Arabidopsis thaliana: one gene and its partner. The protein of the gene in region 1 interacts with the protein of each later gene in a pairwise test. Each region holds a gene or a part of one and is shown in the gene's direction. Other genes may lie near its edges.

Evidence for each region. The genes of interacting proteins can lie anywhere in the genome.
Region 2: the proteins of FYPP1 (region 1) and EIR1 interact in a protein complementation assay, tested with the Arabidopsis thaliana proteins (one study listed by BioGRID).

The regions. Positions count from the first base shown.
Region 1 is NC_003070.9:18,655,131-18,663,339, forward strand, and holds FYPP1 (Calcineurin-like metallo-phosphoesterase superfamily protein), read left to right. Parts: upstream 1-3,377; 5' UTR 3,378-3,763; coding exon 3,764-3,844; intron 3,845-4,294; coding exon 4,295-4,441; intron 4,442-4,526; coding exon 4,527-4,594; intron 4,595-4,810; coding exon 4,811-4,868; intron 4,869-5,227; coding exon 5,228-5,338; intron 5,339-5,450; coding exon 5,451-5,501; intron 5,502-5,606; coding exon 5,607-5,750; intron 5,751-5,847; coding exon 5,848-5,943; intron 5,944-6,032; coding exon 6,033-6,104; intron 6,105-6,458; coding exon 6,459-6,542; 3' UTR 6,543-6,922; downstream 6,923-8,209. Other genes in the region: VIIIA (P-loop containing nucleoside triphosphate hydrolases superfamily protein), read left to right, coding at 145-350, 477-612, 699-828, 914-1,060, 1,164-1,231, 1,320-1,976; AT1G50380 (Prolyl oligopeptidase family protein), read left to right, coding at 7,152-7,521, 7,669-7,952, 8,054-8,209. UniProt on the Arabidopsis thaliana protein: Catalytic subunit of protein phosphatase 6 (PP6). Dephosphorylates phosphorylated phytochromes, with a preference toward Pfr forms.
Region 2 is NC_003076.8:23,097,603-23,106,877, forward strand, and holds EIR1 (Auxin efflux carrier family protein), read left to right. Parts: upstream 1-2,913; 5' UTR 2,914-3,162; coding exon 3,163-3,432; exon of another isoform or gene 3,433-3,583; intron 3,584-3,680; coding exon 3,681-3,983; intron 3,984-4,363; coding exon 4,364-4,808; intron 4,809-5,205; coding exon 5,206-5,475; intron 5,476-5,773; coding exon 5,774-6,041; intron 6,042-6,128; coding exon 6,129-6,214; intron 6,215-6,289; coding exon 6,290-6,447; intron 6,448-6,570; coding exon 6,571-6,647; intron 6,648-6,787; coding exon 6,788-6,854; 3' UTR 6,855-7,626; downstream 7,627-9,275. Other genes in the region: AT5G57070 (hydroxyproline-rich glycoprotein family protein), read left to right, coding at 1-346; AT5G57080 (uncharacterized protein), read left to right, coding at 1,357-1,482, 1,704-1,766; AT5G57100 (Nucleotide/sugar transporter family protein), read right to left, coding at 8,961-9,240. UniProt on the Arabidopsis thaliana protein: Acts as a component of the auxin efflux carrier. Seems to be involved in the root-specific auxin transport, and mediates the root gravitropism. Its particular localization suggests a role in the translocation of auxin towards the elongation zone.

The DNA.
Region 1 (8,209 bases):
AATTTGTTGAGGGTTTACTCATCACAGCTTTCATCTCATCAACATATGTTGTCCATTTCTTGTCCAAAAGGCTTCTGCTTACTTTAGAAGGAAACGTCATCTTATAATATTTGATTAGTGACGATGCCGGGATATTTTTTTCAGGGTCAACTTTTCCAATTGATGCAACGTCTAGGGAACACTACCCCACATTTTATTCGCTGCATAAAGCCAAACAATGTTCAGTCTGCCGGGTTGTATGAGCAAGGACTTGTCTTACAGCAGCTAAGATGTTGTGGTGTCCTAGAGGTCGTTCGAATATCCCGGTCTGGATTTCCCACGAGAATGTTTCATCATAAATTTGCCCGAAGGTAACAACTCCATCTCCAGTTGGTGCACTTTCATTGTATTGCATGTCCTCTTATAATAGGCTTCCCATACTTTTTAGTTGCAATAATGTTGAATGGTCATGCTGTTTTTCTTTTGTCATACTTTAGGTATGGTTTCCTTCTGCTGGAGAACATTGCAGCAAAAGATCCTCTAAGTGTTTCGGTTGCAATTCTCCATCAGTTTAATATCTTGCCAGAGATGTACCAAGTTGGCTACACAAAATTGTTTTTCAGAACTGGCCAGGTACTATAACTAGTCGTCTGATGTCTTGACTTTAGGGGCCACAAATTAGACATTCTTACTGCAGTATACTTGCTTCACCATTGCAGATTGGGGTTCTTGAAGATACAAGGAATCGCACTCTGCATGGCATTTTACGTCTTCAAAGTTATTTTAGAGGGCACCAAGCTCGCTGTCGTCTAAAAGAGCTTAAAACCGGAATTACTATTCTTCAATCATGTATTGCCCCTTGTCTCATTTCAATATCTTGGTTTGTATTTGTTATGTCGTTAGAAACCATACCTCACACATCCTTCTGTTTCAGTTGTTCGTGGAGAAAAGATGAGAAAGGAATACACGGAGTTACTGCAGAGGCATCGAGCTTCTGCTGCTATACAAAGCCATGTTAAGAGAAGGATTGCTAGCCAACAGTATAAAGCCACAGTTGATGCATCTGCTGTAATACAATCAGGTAAAATAGGGTTGATTAATTCTCATGATTGAAACAAATTAAACCTCAAAATATATTTTTAAAAAATAGAAGTTTCAAGAAATGCTGAAACCTTTTTCTGTAGCAATTCGTGGAGAGCTGGTTAGAAGATGTGCGGGGGATATTGGATGGCTTAGTTCTGGTGGCACCAAGGTCCTCTCAAAGCTTTCATTCTCTTCGTGCATTTGACTACATGATATATATGCATATTGCTAGACTCTTAAACCAATTCTTTATGTAGAGAAATGAGTCAGACGAGGTGCTAGTGAAGGCATCATATCTTTCCGATCTTCAGCGTAGGGTTCTTAGAACCGAAGCTGCTCTTCGTGAGAAAGAAGAGGAGAACGACATCCTCCGACAAAGAGTCCAGCAGTACGATAACCGGTGGTCTGAATATGAAACAAAGATGAAATCCATGGAAGAAATTTGGCAAAAGCAGATGAAATCTTTGCAATCCAGTCTTTCCATCGCAAAGAAAAGCCTAGAGGTTGAGGACTCAGCGAGAAACTCGGATGCATCGGTGAATGCAAGCGATGCAACAGATTTAGATTCAGGAGGTAGTCATTACCAAATGGGCCATGGCAGGTCAAGAAGTGTAGGCGTGGGTTTAAGCGTGATAAGCCGGTTAGCTGAGGAATTTGGACAAAGAGCTCAGGTATTTGGTGACGACAGAAAGTTCTTGATGGAAGTGAAATCTGGTCAGGTGGAAGCAAACTTGAATCCGGACCGGGAGCTACGAAGGCTGAAACAGATGTTTGAGACATGGAAGAAAGATTATGGAGGGAGACTAAGGGAAACGAAACTGATACTTAGCAAACTTGGGAGTGAAGAAACAGGTGGTTCAGCGGAGAAGGTGAAGATGAATTGGTGGGGGAGGTTGAGGAGTACTAGGTATTAATGGTTACTTCCTTTTCTTGAGACGCACGTCTCCTTTTCTACACGTTTGATGTAACTACGGTTTTTGGCTTTGCTGCTAGAAGTGAGAAGGCTCCTTGGGACTGAAAGAGTCATGTTTTTCATTTGCCACCCAAATCTATTGGCAAATTCAGTAAATAATTTTTATATTATACAGTATATCTATTTGTCAAGGATTCCAAAGTCCAGTGAACCATTGCTGTATTTGAATATAAATAGTCGTTGCAAAAACAAATCAATATTTATATTTCTTAAATAGTTAAGTTTTTTATCAAGCTAATTAAAATGGACATAGCGAGAAATAACTACAAGGTGGTAAACTATGATAATAATATAAATTTCCTTACAAGTTTGTTTGTTTGTAAACATATGGAGTTAGAAAGGGAAAAAAAAATTGTATAGATTTTATACAAGATTGTTTTGAGTTTAAAAAATCTTTATCGTGTTTGGACAATGTGTATTTTAAAAACTATTTAACTACTAGTTTTTTTGGCCGATTTCAGTGATATCTCGACTTAGACTCTACAAAAATTTAGATAATTTGATGGATAAAATTACATATGATAAATCATGCACTTGTATCAGATGGTCAGTTGGTGGAATCCCTCTTCAACAAGTGATCTTTCTTGGAATGTTGTCGTGGGTTAAAAAAAAACTCAATCCAGCCCAAACCCGAAATGAACATGTCTGAGAAAAATCATTTCTATTCTTGCAGCTGAGTAAACTCTTCACAATTTAAATTTCGAATTACCTTTGCGATGCATCACTTTTTTAAGTGGAACTAAGTTTCGGATCACCTCTCGACCAAGTATAAACCAAACCAACACCAATATATACTTTCCGTAATATTTGGCCCTCCGACTAGTGATTTTTTCGGATGTAATTTGAACATTGGAGATTTTTTGGTGAGACAAATTCCATTTTGTCATTTTTAGAGGTCATCATAACAATACTTTTCCTTCTCAAATTATCCCTAACCAGAAGCCAAATGGGAAGACCCAAACATAAACATTGAAATGAATCGAGTGAGGTTCGCTCTTGAACGATCGTATTGCTAATGCCTATCCAAGATCATTGATTCATTTCTAACATATCCCGTACGGTCTCCCACAAACAACCTTCCTCAAAAGTTCAACATCACATAGATTTCGAAATGTGTCTTTAGACACAATTTGTTTAACAAGACTTTTAAATAATTTTTTTTAGGAGTTTTTAATTATCAAAAAGGTCTTACTCAAATTCAACAACACATATATCGAAATGTGTTTTTTTAAAAAAATTAAAAAGAAGAAAAAATACTATAAAGAAGGTTTAAGTATTTGTGGAATTTTATTTAGGTGTTATCAATTGTCACATTCAAGTAGACAAATAAAATTACCAAGAAAAGAATTGCAAAAACATTGAAAATGTGTAGTATACTCCATTAAAGATTTGTGTAATGAAGTAATAGATAAAAATTAAATTGATGTTTAATATGTTGCCAAAAAAATGATTAAAAATAAATATCCAACGAATAGAGTTTGGGGATGGAGGAAGACCAAATCGGGTTCGGGTCGAGATTGTTTGGTTCGTTGTGTTTCCCCTTTCTCTCTCTCTCCCTCTTTCCCCCTTACGTAACCCTAAGCGGACGGAGCAATGCTCTGCTAGATCTATCTTTCTTTCAATTCTTCACCAGAGATCGTCGAGACTCACCATTGAAATCGAAGAAACAGCACCAATTTCCACTTCACCACCGAAAGAGAGAGACAGAGAGGATAATAAAAGGCCGCCATGGATTTAGATCAATGGATTTCCAAGGTTAAAGACGGCCAACATCTCTCTGAGGACGAGCTTCAACTTCTCTGCGAATACGTACGCCTTCTTCTTCTTTCTTCTTTCTTCTCTTGCTTGCTTTCTCTTCCCCGAATATTCATGCATCTACAAAAACCCAATTCTTCGCTTACTCTTTTGAGACTTTAGAGCTTGCTTTGTGGCACTTTACTTTGAATCTGGTCTCTCTCCCTTACTGTTTCCTTTGCCATTTTGGTCTACGGATTTTAGGGTTTTTCTCTCATTTTTCCAATAGAGGATTTATTGACTTTGCTATTTCAATTCTAAATTCTAAGGAATTAGGGATAAGTTTAGCTCTTCTTTAGCCAATTTATGGATGCACCAAGTCCACGCTTGCAAACTGTTATTTGAGGATTTATTATAGTAATTTTAGTGTTGAAACTTGTAGTAGCAGCCGTCTTCTTCTTTTTTCATGACAATGATTTGCTAAGATACTCTGGTAATTCACAAGATATTTTGACTATTATATAGGTGAAAGAAATTCTTATTGAGGAATCAAATGTACAACCTGTCAACAGTCCTGTCACCGTCTGTGGTGATATCCATGGCCAGTTTCATGATCTTATGAAACTTTTCCAGACCGGAGGTCATGTTCCCGAGACCAATTACATATTTATGGTATAGACTCTGACTTTGGGCGTAGGCTCGTATGACATATCAATATGTAACACATAGTTTAATTATCTGTGGGGGATTTTCTCAGGGGGATTTCGTTGATAGAGGTTACAACAGTCTTGAAGTTTTCACCATTCTTTTGCTTCTTAAAGCAAGGTAAGATTTTCCGTAGAAATTGTGCGTTATATATGTCATGGATCGTCATCCTTCCGTTTCACACTGTATATCATAGTTCTCTTGAGAATGCTCTTTAAGCTGTAAACGCATTGCTCTACTGGAAAATCGATTTAACTTGTATTCCAGGAAATTTATATTCTAACTTACTTTGCTGTGAGCTTAAAATCACTCGTTTCCTTGTATTTCAATATGTAGACATCCAGCCAATATCACTCTTTTGCGTGGAAATCATGAAAGTAGACAGCTAACTCAGGTATGCATTATTCTAATCCATTTATATCTATTGTTGCTGACTTGCTGTGCTCTTCACGCAGTTACTGGTTGAGAAGTAATTTTCGCTCAATTGTTATAACTAGTTTTGAAAGTTTATTTTGTACATGTGGCAATGCCATGCTAGATATAGGCATAGATGTTAACTAAGATGCATTTTATGTGAACCCTTTGCAACCATAAGTTTTCTTCTCGGAAGCTCTTGATTTATCTCTATCCTACACCATATCCTATATCTTTTAACATCCACTGTCAAGGACGAAGATTGTAGTGATATTTTGTGCCCTGCAGGTTCATTTTTATAGTTTTCTTAAATTGTCGTACCAATTTTATATTTGCTAGGTGTATGGTTTCTATGACGAATGCCAAAGGAAGTATGGTAATGCTAATGCTTGGAGATATTGCACGGATGTTTTTGACTATCTTACACTTTCAGCTATTATAGATGGCACTGTAAGTATTTCTCAGCTTCTTTGGCATTGTGTTATGATGTGTTCTTGTATAATTTTATGAATGCATAAGTTAGCTGTATACCATATTAAAACGTATTGCATCCTCAATGTAGGTTCTATGTGTTCATGGTGGCCTTTCACCTGATGTACGGACAATTGACCAGGTTAAAATGTGCTATTTTAAATTACTTTTGGTTTTCACCATGCAAGTGTTATTTATGATTAGATTAAATCTCATTTACTCATTTAGATGTTATTTTGTTCTCTAGATAAGATTGATTGAGCGGAATTGCGAAATACCGCATGAAGGACCCTTCTGTGATCTTATGTGGAGTGATCCTGAAGATATTGAAACATGGGCTGTCAGTCCACGTGGAGCTGGTTGGCTTTTCGGGTCCAGGGTTACCACTGAGGTATTTATATTTTTTTCTGGGGTTGAAATTTGAATAAGGTGTGAAAAGAAATAAATGTATTTCAGTTCCCTGATCTGTGGTTTTGCTTCTTGTGCAGTTTAACCATATTAACAATCTTGATCTAGTATGTCGCGCTCACCAGCTTGTACAAGAAGGTCTCAAGTACATGTTCCAAGATAAAGGTCTTGTAACTGTAAGTGCCTTGCTTCCTTATGATCATTTTGGATAGTTGGAAGTATAATCTGCTTGGTGATGTTTCTTCTCTTTATTTTTTTTGTAAAGGTGTGGTCTGCGCCTAATTACTGCTACCGTTGTGGGAATGTGGCTTCTATATTGAGTTTCAATGACAACATGGTGAGGCATTTGTTTTCTCTTTTGTTACTGATCTGCCACAATATCTTGTTTCATGTTCTTCTTACTTTTATGCACTCGTCTTCGGATTCTACTTTTCCTTTTTGATTAAATAAGTTACTGCCTTTGATACTTGTCTCTCGACCCAAACATATACACATGAGTGACTCTTGTGAGATAGAGTTATGATGTTTAAGCCATTTATTTAGTAACAATTCACAGTTCGCGTGGAATCAGTCTGTCCATATTGATTGTGCTCTGTGTGTTACTTTTCATATATAGACCTGTTTCTGGGAAGTGTTTAGGATCTGGTCCTCACTGACAGTAATGATTTGTTAAAATATGCTTAATTACCAGGAAAGGGAAGTGAAGTTCTTCACGGAGACAGAAGAGAACAATCAAATGAGAGGGCCAAGGACAGGTGTTCCTTATTTCCTGTGATTCATGATGATGATCCTACATCATTATTAGTCTCGTATTGCTCTTATCAAGTTAGCCATTATCATGATTGCCATTGGCTTATGTTCTTTCAAGGTATATCTTCTGATGTTGTTTACACTTCCATTGTTTTTTTTTTCCTTTTTCCATTTTGGAAACATTTTCTTGTGAAAGTGAATGTCACTTTGGTAATTTTAGTGGTTTTGATGCACTTTAACCTGAACCTCTTCTGGATGTTATTATTATACGTGCTTTCTTTCTTGTTTTGTTTCATCTTTGTTCTGTAAGCAAGACCAATTTTTATCATCTCAGCTTATTTGCAGTTTAGCACGGTTTGATTAGGTTCTGGGTTAATCTCAGGCTTATAAAATTCATCAAGCTCAAAAATAGTCCACTACAAGAACATAGAAGACCATTAATCAACATTCAACAGTAATTTGTTTCTAATCTAATTATTTGGTTTTGTTCAATAATCCTAGCAAAAATTCACGAAAGAGTTAATAATTTTGTAACCGGAATCATAGATAGGCCGGTTTATCCAAACCGGATATGACCTGTCCTCTATTAACAAACTGGTCGCGAGTCTCTAGGCAACTAAAACGGACACGTAATATGATAATAAGGCGTGGACTCGTATCTCTCGGCACTCACTTTCTCGCGACTCGTAGTCGTCTTCTCCACTTCGATACTCCTCTCTCTTGCCTCGTTCCTCTTGTTCCTCGCCGCCGCTCTATTCTACGGCTGTCTTCTTCTTTTTCCTCTTCCTCTGAAACCGGAGCTGCGTCAGTGCGGTTGACATCACCGAGAGACATGGCGGAATCGAGATCCCCTCCTGTAGCGAAGAAGGTGGAGCATGTGATGGAGATGTTCGGTGACGTTAGGGTTGACAATTACTACTGGCTCCGTGACGATTCTCGCACCAATCCCGACATGCTTTCTTATCTTCGTGAAGAAAATCACTACACTGATTTCGTCATGTCTGGTGAGTCTTTTCAAGTTGCCTCTGTCAGTGACGTTGTGATACTTAGGGGATTAGGGTTTTTAGCTTTCCTTGTTTTCAATTTGGAGTATTAGTGACTTGTTGATTATGCAAGCTTGTGATAAATTAGACTGGAAAATAAAAATTCAGGGACCAAGCAATTTGAGAATCAGCTGTTTGCTGAAATAAGAGGGAGGATCAAAGAAGATGATATATCTGCACCTCTACGCAAGGGTCCTTACTATTATTATGAGAAAAATCTTCAAGGAAAGGAATATATTCAGCACTGTAGACGTTTGATCACTGACAACAAAGCTGAGCCTTCTGTCTATGATACTATGCCAACTGGTCCAGATGCTCCTCCTGAGCATGTGATATTGGATGAGAATACCAAGGCTCAAGAGCATGACTACTACAGAATTGGGGCCTTCAAGGTTTGACTAGAAAATAGACTTTAAAAATCGTCCTAAGAGATATCCTTTTCAAACTTGCTCTTTACTAACTTGATGTTTCATTTTCTTGATTCTTTTTATAGGCGAGTCCCGATCATAAATTGGTGGCATATGCAGAGGACACAAAAGGTGATGAGATATATACAGTGAATGTCATCGACTCTGAAGCCCTAAAACCAGTGGGGCAACAGCTTAAAGGACTTACTTCTTATCTTGAATGGGCTGGTAATGATGCTTTG
Region 2 (9,275 bases), on another chromosome or scaffold:
CAACGGCCAAGGATCTCCGTTAATCCAAATTACGCCTCCACCTCCACCACCGCCTCCGTTTAGAGTTCCGCCGCTAAAATATGTCGTGAGTGGTGATTTCGCGAAGATACGGAGTAATCAGAGCTCTAGATGTAGCTCCCCTGAACGGGAAGTGTTCGATATCGGTTGGGGTCTAGAACTCACACAATCTGATGGCGGAGTTGAGACTAAAGCTGCCGTCAGCGGCGGCGGTATGCCGGGATTCTGCCCAAGCCCGGACGTTGATACGAAAGCCGACAATTTCATTGCCAGGCTTAGAGATGAGTGGAGGCTCGATAAGATCAATTCCGTGAATAGAAAGAGGTAACTGGGCTTTTTAAGGCCTATTATTAGGCCCATTACGAAAACGGCGTAGGTTTCAACCTCTTATGCCCTGCAAGGCTGTGCAATGCACAAGGATCTCATACGAGAAACATCTTCAAGGGAAGTCGGTAAAAATTGTTGGAGATATTTTATATTTGATTGGCGAAATTCGTTGTGATTTTAAGCAATGTGCAGCAAGGACTCGAGTTCAAAAGTTACGGGTAATATTGGCATTATTGGTATAGTTATTAGTGGTAAATGGTTTCAAACTGGCTGGTTAGTTTTTTGGGTTTAACCGGTTGAGGGATTTTGCTTTGGTGTGTTTTGATTATTCGGTTTGAACTTTGGAGTGTCAGATGAAAACTCAATAACTTCGGTGTTGAATGTTTTATATTTTGGTTGGTACGCATTGATGTATGTACAATGTATGGCCCATTGATATGAAAATATAGTTGTGGGCTCTGAGTTTTGTTGGGCCTACCTCTTGTGACCTTTCCCTCTCCCTTACAAGCAATTCTTCTTCAAGTTGGTTGATGATTGTCATAATGACTGGTTGTCGTATGTATCTCTAAGAATAAATTCATTTGTGTGTTGAGTGAGATTCTTATAGCTTACTAGTAATATGTATATGATATGTCAACTGAATTCATGTTTTGCAAGGATATCATTACCAGTACCGAATGATGTGACATATCTGATGAGGTTTGAGGTATTGAACTCTCATGATTGTCAAGTGATGGTCTTGAAGCTTATAAACGATCCTCAAAAAAGTGTTTTGATATTTCCATAATTCTTTAGAGTAGCTTGACCTTATTATATAATTCAAAACTTTGGCCTTAGATAATGAGATTCAGGCAGGGAGGTGACGTGTTACTCACGCGCGAGAGCTGCGCGTTCAAATCATAAAAAGCCGACTTGCTATAAAAGCAAACTTGTTGATGATGGTTCAAAATTTCGAAAAGCTTTTCAAATTTCTCTTCATATCGCGCGCTCAGTCAAAAAGCAGAGCCAAAGATGAAGAAACCGTATAAAGGAAAGTTGCCGACGGGAACTCCGTCTCTGGCAATGTCAACACTCGTCGTCGTTGCTTCCCTTCTCGCCGGAGCCTCCGTTGTCCACAACATCTACAAACCAGATCTCGTAAGCTTCACCTTCTCTTTCTGTACATATGTTAGGGTTCTCAAATGTATTAGGTTTGCTCACTTTCTTCGTTCTTGATAATGCCCATAAGCGTGATCGGTTTAAAACCATTCATTTCGTTCTCTGGCTCTGTGATCTCTCTTTTATTGTAATGCACATAAGGTGTTCGATGAATTGCCCATGAGAGATTTGTAATCTGATTGCTTTTTACTTTTGTGCAGAGTTTACCACCGTTGGAAAGTAGTGAAGTGGCCAAGAAGGATGATTCTGTAAACAAAGTTTGAATCTTTCAATAGTTTCATCCTGTTTTATCAGGCTACATTCACTTTGGTTGTTCTCTTTCAATTCATGAGTTAACAAAAAAACATGGATAAAGTTTAAAACTGAGATCACTTATTAAAGGCTTTTATTCTTCTTCCTCTTGTGAAGATGTAAAGAAGAACAAACTCTTTTTAGGTTTCTTGTTGGTCAATTCACCGTTTTTTTTAAAGAGATATAAGAAATCGCGATGATCGTGTAGATGACATAGAGACCAACGAATTGATGGAGTCTTTGCTACGGATTGTGGAAAACCATGTCTTCGATACATATTGGAACTTCAAAAGAGATTTTAGTGATAATCTAGTTAGTATCTCCATCGTTAGATCCATAGGTCCATTAGGCCCAAACGCCCAATCACGTGGCGTGATAAATACGTTAACAATTGCAATATGAAGAAAACACGACAATTAAATATGGAAGAGAGGCTAATTATTCATCGGTCCAATTGCCAATGTCTTTGACTGTAGTTAATAATAAATCATTAAGAGATTTTCGTTTAAAAACAAAAATACACCGTTTCAAGATTAAAAGATAAGTTAATTACAATTGTATTTTTCCTGATTAAAAATCAGATGTTTACAGGGAACCGCAGATCGCTCAGAAAGTGTAGTAAGATGCTCGCAAAAACCATGTGCATGTCCATCAACCTTCGCCGTCTCAATAGCTTACACAAAAATCGTTTTTGTTTTCTTATTAATATAAAACCTAATCTAAATTTACAAATTTGTTTTCTTATTAATATAAAATCTAATCTAAATTTACAAATTTGTATTACACGTACAAGTGGATCCAAGTATCTGACTCTACAGATATTTTGAATCTAACATTTGTGTAATTATAATTTATAATCTCTGAAGCATTTAATTTTACTTACAAATAATGTTAGACCACGAGACAGAAGGTAAACCAATCTTCCTTATCCCAAGATAAGATTCTTCAAATTAAATATAACGGCTTTTTGCAGAAGTAATAAAGATAGAAGGAATATCTAGTATCAACGGAAAAAAAGAAAAAATCTAGAGCACTTCGAAAAATTATGGACCAAAGAAGATTCAGACTGAAATTATTACTGTATTAGTATTTGTCCATTCACAAAATGCCGAGGAAGAAAAAAGGCATTTTGGTTTATATTTTGTTTATTTGATATTCAAATGTCCAACGATCCTCTCTAGCTAAGCTTAGCTATAATTCAATGTTTGAACACGAATCCCATTATTTTAACACAAACAACATTAATTAAATATCGTCTCAAGGAACTTCACTTCCTTGTCCATAAATACGTTATTTCACACCACATATACTCATCTATATCTCTATTTTTCTTCTTCTTCTCTCTCTCGCCGGAAAAAGTAAATCAAAATGATCACCGGCAAAGACATGTACGATGTTTTAGCGGCTATGGTGCCGCTATACGTTGCTATGATATTAGCCTATGGTTCGGTACGGTGGTGGGGGATATTCACACCGGACCAATGTTCCGGTATAAACCGGTTCGTTGCGGTTTTCGCGGTTCCTCTTCTCTCTTTCCATTTCATCTCCTCCAATGATCCTTATGCAATGAATTACCACTTCCTCGCTGCTGATTCTCTTCAGAAAGTCGTTATCCTCGCCGCACTCTTTCTTTGGCAGGCCCGTCTCTTTCAATAATCTCTCTATGCACATAATCTATCTTCATTAAGTGATGGTAGTCTACTAGTAATTGCTATGATGGTCAATTTTTACTCGAAAACATATTGGTTATCGAAAGCTTATAGTATAGTAACTATGTCATTTAACACGGGTAAATATTTTAGTTAACATTTTAGCTCTTTTGTAATATGTGTCTCTAAACACACACATTCTCATGTTTGTGTATATATTGTGATATTATTTTTTAGGCGTTTAGCCGCAGAGGAAGCCTAGAATGGATGATAACGCTCTTTTCACTATCAACACTGCCTAACACGTTGGTAATGGGAATCCCATTGCTTAGGGCGATGTACGGAGACTTCTCCGGTAACCTAATGGTGCAGATCGTGGTGCTTCAGAGCATCATATGGTATACATTAATGCTCTTCTTGTTTGAGTTCCGTGGGGCTAAGCTTCTCATCTCCGAGCAGTTCCCGGAGACGGCTGGTTCAATTACTTCCTTCAGAGTTGACTCTGATGTTATCTCTCTTAATGGCCGTGAACCCCTCCAGGTATGAATTTTTCACTGATGACCTTTTTCATATGTTTGTTCAAATTAACGGACCGGTTAACTCAAGTAAACTAGAAAATGGGTAGTTACTAGTTACGACATGACTACATGTCATTTTGGGATTCCTTTTTGCCTATGTAAATCTATAACAAATTTTGAGTTTTGTCTGAGTTCCTTTTTCAGAAGTCAAAAATAATCTTCAAAGTGACGTGTTACATTATTCACGCAGAATTTAATAATTAGTACAATATAAGAAATATCAAGTTATTAACTATAGTCTAGTTGAATTTTCATTCTTTTTGTACCGATTCGGTTATATCCGGTTTAAATCACATCGACTCGAAATTCATCACCTAAAAATATGGATTTATCTTTCATTAGACCGATGCGGAGATAGGAGACGACGGAAAGCTACACGTGGTGGTTCGAAGATCAAGTGCCGCCTCATCAATGATCTCTTCATTCAACAAATCTCACGGCGGAGGACTTAACTCCTCCATGATAACGCCGCGAGCTTCAAATCTCACCGGCGTAGAGATTTACTCCGTTCAATCGTCACGAGAGCCGACGCCGAGAGCTTCTAGCTTTAATCAGACAGATTTCTACGCAATGTTTAACGCAAGCAAAGCTCCAAGCCCTCGTCACGGTTACACTAATAGCTACGGCGGCGCTGGAGCTGGTCCAGGTGGAGATGTTTACTCACTTCAGTCTTCTAAAGGCGTGACGCCGAGAACGTCAAATTTTGATGAGGAAGTTATGAAGACGGCGAAGAAAGCAGGAAGAGGAGGCAGAAGTATGAGTGGGGAATTATACAACAATAATAGTGGTATGAATTTTTTAATATATATATATATATATATTTATTTTTTATTTATTTTTTTAAAAAAATATATTTTGCTTCTTTATAAATTTAAATAGATATAAGAATCGATTCAGATATTATTATTATTTTCCATCAGTCACCGGTGATTATAAGTGGGATATTATTAGGTTTAAAAAGGTTTAAAAGTTAAGTAAAGAGTTCATCAAATAATTTTGCGTAATTATTTTTTTCTTTTAACAAAATAATAATAATTTAGTATATCACTTCCAAAACTCTTAGGTTTTTAAACTGATTATAGTTTTGGAAAACAAAATATTAATTTTGTATTTTGAAATTTAAATGTGATTTTTTCATTATAATGTAATGTTTTAAAATAAAATTTTCTATAATTTATGGTCAGTTCCGTCGTACCCACCGCCGAACCCAATGTTCACGGGGTCAACGAGTGGAGCAAGTGGAGTCAAGAAAAAGGAAAGTGGTGGCGGAGGAAGCGGTGGCGGAGTAGGAGTAGGAGGACAAAACAAGGAGATGAACATGTTCGTGTGGAGTTCGAGTGCTTCTCCGGTGTCGGAAGCCAACGCGAAGAATGCTATGACCAGAGGTTCTTCCACCGATGTATCCACCGACCCTAAAGTTTCTATTCCTCCTCACGACAACCTCGCTACTAAAGGTTTATTAATCTCCAACTTATTTCATATTTTTTTTTATCATTACTTGCCACGCTTCTATTTTTTTTTTAACTTTTAGGAAAAATGTATAAAGCTCAATATCGGTTCTAAGTTTTTTTTATAGTTTTTTCAAAGTTTCAAAACTTATGAAAACTTTTAAACTAATTAAAGTAGATTTTTATTTGGTTCCGTACGGCTTTCTATAAGTTAGTTTTTTGGTCGAAGAAAGGTCATAATAAATTTAGTTTAGTATTTTCTGTGATATTTAATTATAATTATATTCATACTTGGTGATGACAGCGATGCAGAATCTGATAGAGAACATGTCACCGGGAAGAAAAGGGCATGTGGAAATGGACCAAGACGGTAATAACGGGGGAAAGTCACCTTACATGGGCAAAAAAGGTAGCGACGTGGAAGACGGCGGTCCCGGTCCTAGGAAACAGCAGATGCCGCCGGCGAGTGTGATGACGAGACTAATTCTGATAATGGTTTGGAGAAAACTCATTCGAAACCCTAACACTTACTCTAGTCTCTTTGGCCTTGCTTGGTCCCTTGTCTCTTTCAAGTAAGTACTAATAATAATGTCACAATCATATAACATAACAATATATTTGGGCAATTGCTTGATGTTGTTGATCATTTTATGGGACAGGTGGAATATAAAGATGCCAACGATAATGAGTGGATCGATTTCGATATTATCTGATGCTGGTCTTGGAATGGCTATGTTTAGTCTTGGTATAGTTCCCTTCATATATATATTTAGTTATAGTCTTTGGTGCTTTTTTTTTTGCTAATTATTGATACATATAGGTCTATTTATGGCATTGCAACCAAAGATTATTGCGTGCGGAAAATCAGTAGCAGGGTTTGCGATGGCCGTAAGGTTCTTGACTGGACCAGCCGTGATCGCAGCCACCTCAATAGCAATTGGTATTCGAGGTGATCTCCTCCATATCGCCATCGTTCAGGTGATTACTCTTTAGTCTTATATATATTTCAATCTAACTTACAGTTTGATGTTTTAGCTAGTGATGTTGGGTTTCTTTGAAAAATATAATTGATAAGAATATATATAATTGTATGTTTTGAAGGCTGCTCTTCCTCAAGGAATCGTTCCTTTTGTTTTCGCCAAAGAATATAACGTCCATCCTGATATTCTCAGCACTGCGTAAGTTATTTAAGTTATAAAATATTTAATTTTCATTCTTAAACTTCATTTTAATACTATATATAAGATATTAATTTGGTATTCAAACTATACAAAGTTACAGAGATCTCCTAAGCTAAAAACTTGATATTATTTTTCAGGGTTATATTCGGAATGCTGGTTGCTTTGCCTGTAACAGTACTCTACTACGTTCTTTTGGGGCTTTAAGTTATTATCAAAACGTATTTGCAAATAAAAGGCGATACGACCCAAAGGTGATTTTTTTTCAAACGAAAAAGAATAATTACAAGAACGAAAAAAGACTAATTCCAGGTCAGGCTTAGGTGTATGGGACCATGCAATGTCGCATTAATTAAATTATAGCATATGATAGTCGAAAATTTAGATAACTTTGTATAATTAATTATATGCACATGCATGTACGTGACTTTGTAGTTTTTGTTACATTTATTAAATTTTTGGGATGTGCAAGTACAATTATTTACTATTGATTAGTTTTTTCTATTTATCGATGGTCGTGAAGCATGTTATTAAATTACACTAATATTTCATCATATACTAGTCAAGTATTACTAGATCGCGCAGTCTGTTTAGATTAGATCTTGTGCTTTTCTAAATCTCCATACAATTCTTTATTTTGTTTTGGATCAAATGCACTAATACTTCCACATATAACCTTTTTATTTCATTTCTTTTGTCTTATATATTTATGTTTTTGTTTGTATGTAAAGTTAATTATGAACGTTATTTTTTTTGTTAAAAAATTATGAACGTAATATTCGGTTGAAGCTTGAAGGTAGTCGCATTTTAATTCGATGAGTAAAGAACAATCAAACTTATAATAGAATTTAATTTTCCTTTATTTTAGTATATACTTATCTGTCACCAATAAGATATCACTCGGACTATTTTTGGAGTGATACAAAGAATTTGCGTGGAGAAAGAAACATTTCAAATGAAAGCACTAGTCTAGACAATTGATTGTGTAGTAAGATAGTTGCTGATGATAAGTTTTGCGTTATAGACAAATTGTGCATATCTAACATGTGTGAATATCTTAACGAGTGATCAAACTTTTCAACCAAACTGTCCAAAGTTTTTATGAAATAGAAATTATTTTTCTTCTTTTTCCTTGCGTTTGATTAATTATGAGCTCCTCAAAACGTATCGGTGATCGGCGCTTGAATTTAAGTATGTAAATGTAATGTACTAGAAAAGATGGCTTGGCTCTGGAGGCGTTGACTGTGTAACGTGAAAACGATCACGTGGGGTATCAAAACGATGAGATATACGTTGGAACTCGCTCTTTGGTCGGAACGTAATTGAACGAACAACAACACATGAGAAATTCAATAACAATTCTTCTCTATATAGTTGTCCTGACCTCTGACTTATCTGACAATAGATCTTTTAATAGTTTACACGTAAAAATATTTATTATTCAATGAAGTGCGTAAGAGAAATAGCATATGTATACTAAGGGTAAAAGTATTTATACGTTTTGATGTTTTCAGAAGGTTTTGTGCATTGAGTAGGAGACAACATTTGCTCAGTGACAGCTCTTGTCTCTCTAGGCACCTTACTATTATAATGTCTCATCGTGAATCTTATCTTGTATAACAAATTAATGTTCATATTGTTTCAAGTACATTATAGCACATGTTTATAAACAAACTTGCATAAATACCTTAGAATTTTATCATTTTTGCTAATGCCAAAAATTATCAGTCTCTTACTAAAAGCGATCGAAAATGAATCAGCGTTATGAGCTTCTTTTTTGTTCCATATTGGATCAAATCATCAATTACTAATTAAAAGCAAAATGATACAAATCCTCAATACGTAAGACTAAAACCGGCCCATTTAACAAATTCAGCCCATAAGGCCTAAATCATTTCATGACATTTTGGTTTTGTTTTGGTCTAAAATCATTTTTAAGATTGTTAATTTTTTTGCTCTTCTTATAGTTTATGTTAATTATTATAAGTTGTTTTCTAAACAGTTTCATATAAATTTCATCCTTTTTCAGATGACAAAAAAAACAGTTTCATTAAATTTCAAGATATTCAGCACATATACACCTCCCAAAATTGACAGAAAATAAAAGATACAAGAACATTTGATGACAAGACAAAAGAAAACAAAAACAAAAAAATGAATTGAAAGAGTTGTTGTCAAAAGAAAAGTTGTTTATTTTCAGAGATGAAATTAGAAAAATGGAAACAAGAATCATCGACAAAAACAAAAAGTTGGAATTAGAATCTAATGTAATGTGGAATAATCAAAACTATATAATACAAAAGTTAGCCTAGACTAGACAGCTTCGGAGCCGTAAGGTTCAAGATTCTTGTCATCATCCTTAAGATCACTGAATCTTGACTTCTTCTCCGAGAGAGCAGAAGAAGAAGACGAAGTTTTAAGAGATTGACCTCTCGTGTTAAGGTATGTATATAACGAAGTTCCCATAATCGCCACAAACGCACCGCCAACGCTAATGAAACCACTATTCGACCCGAAAATGTAGTAGTTTCCAAGGAGGAGGACACAAGTCTTGAACTGTCCTAGCACCACATGCGTAATTGCAGAAGTTGCTCTGCAATATATGGAGCAAAATTTGGACTTAAGGAA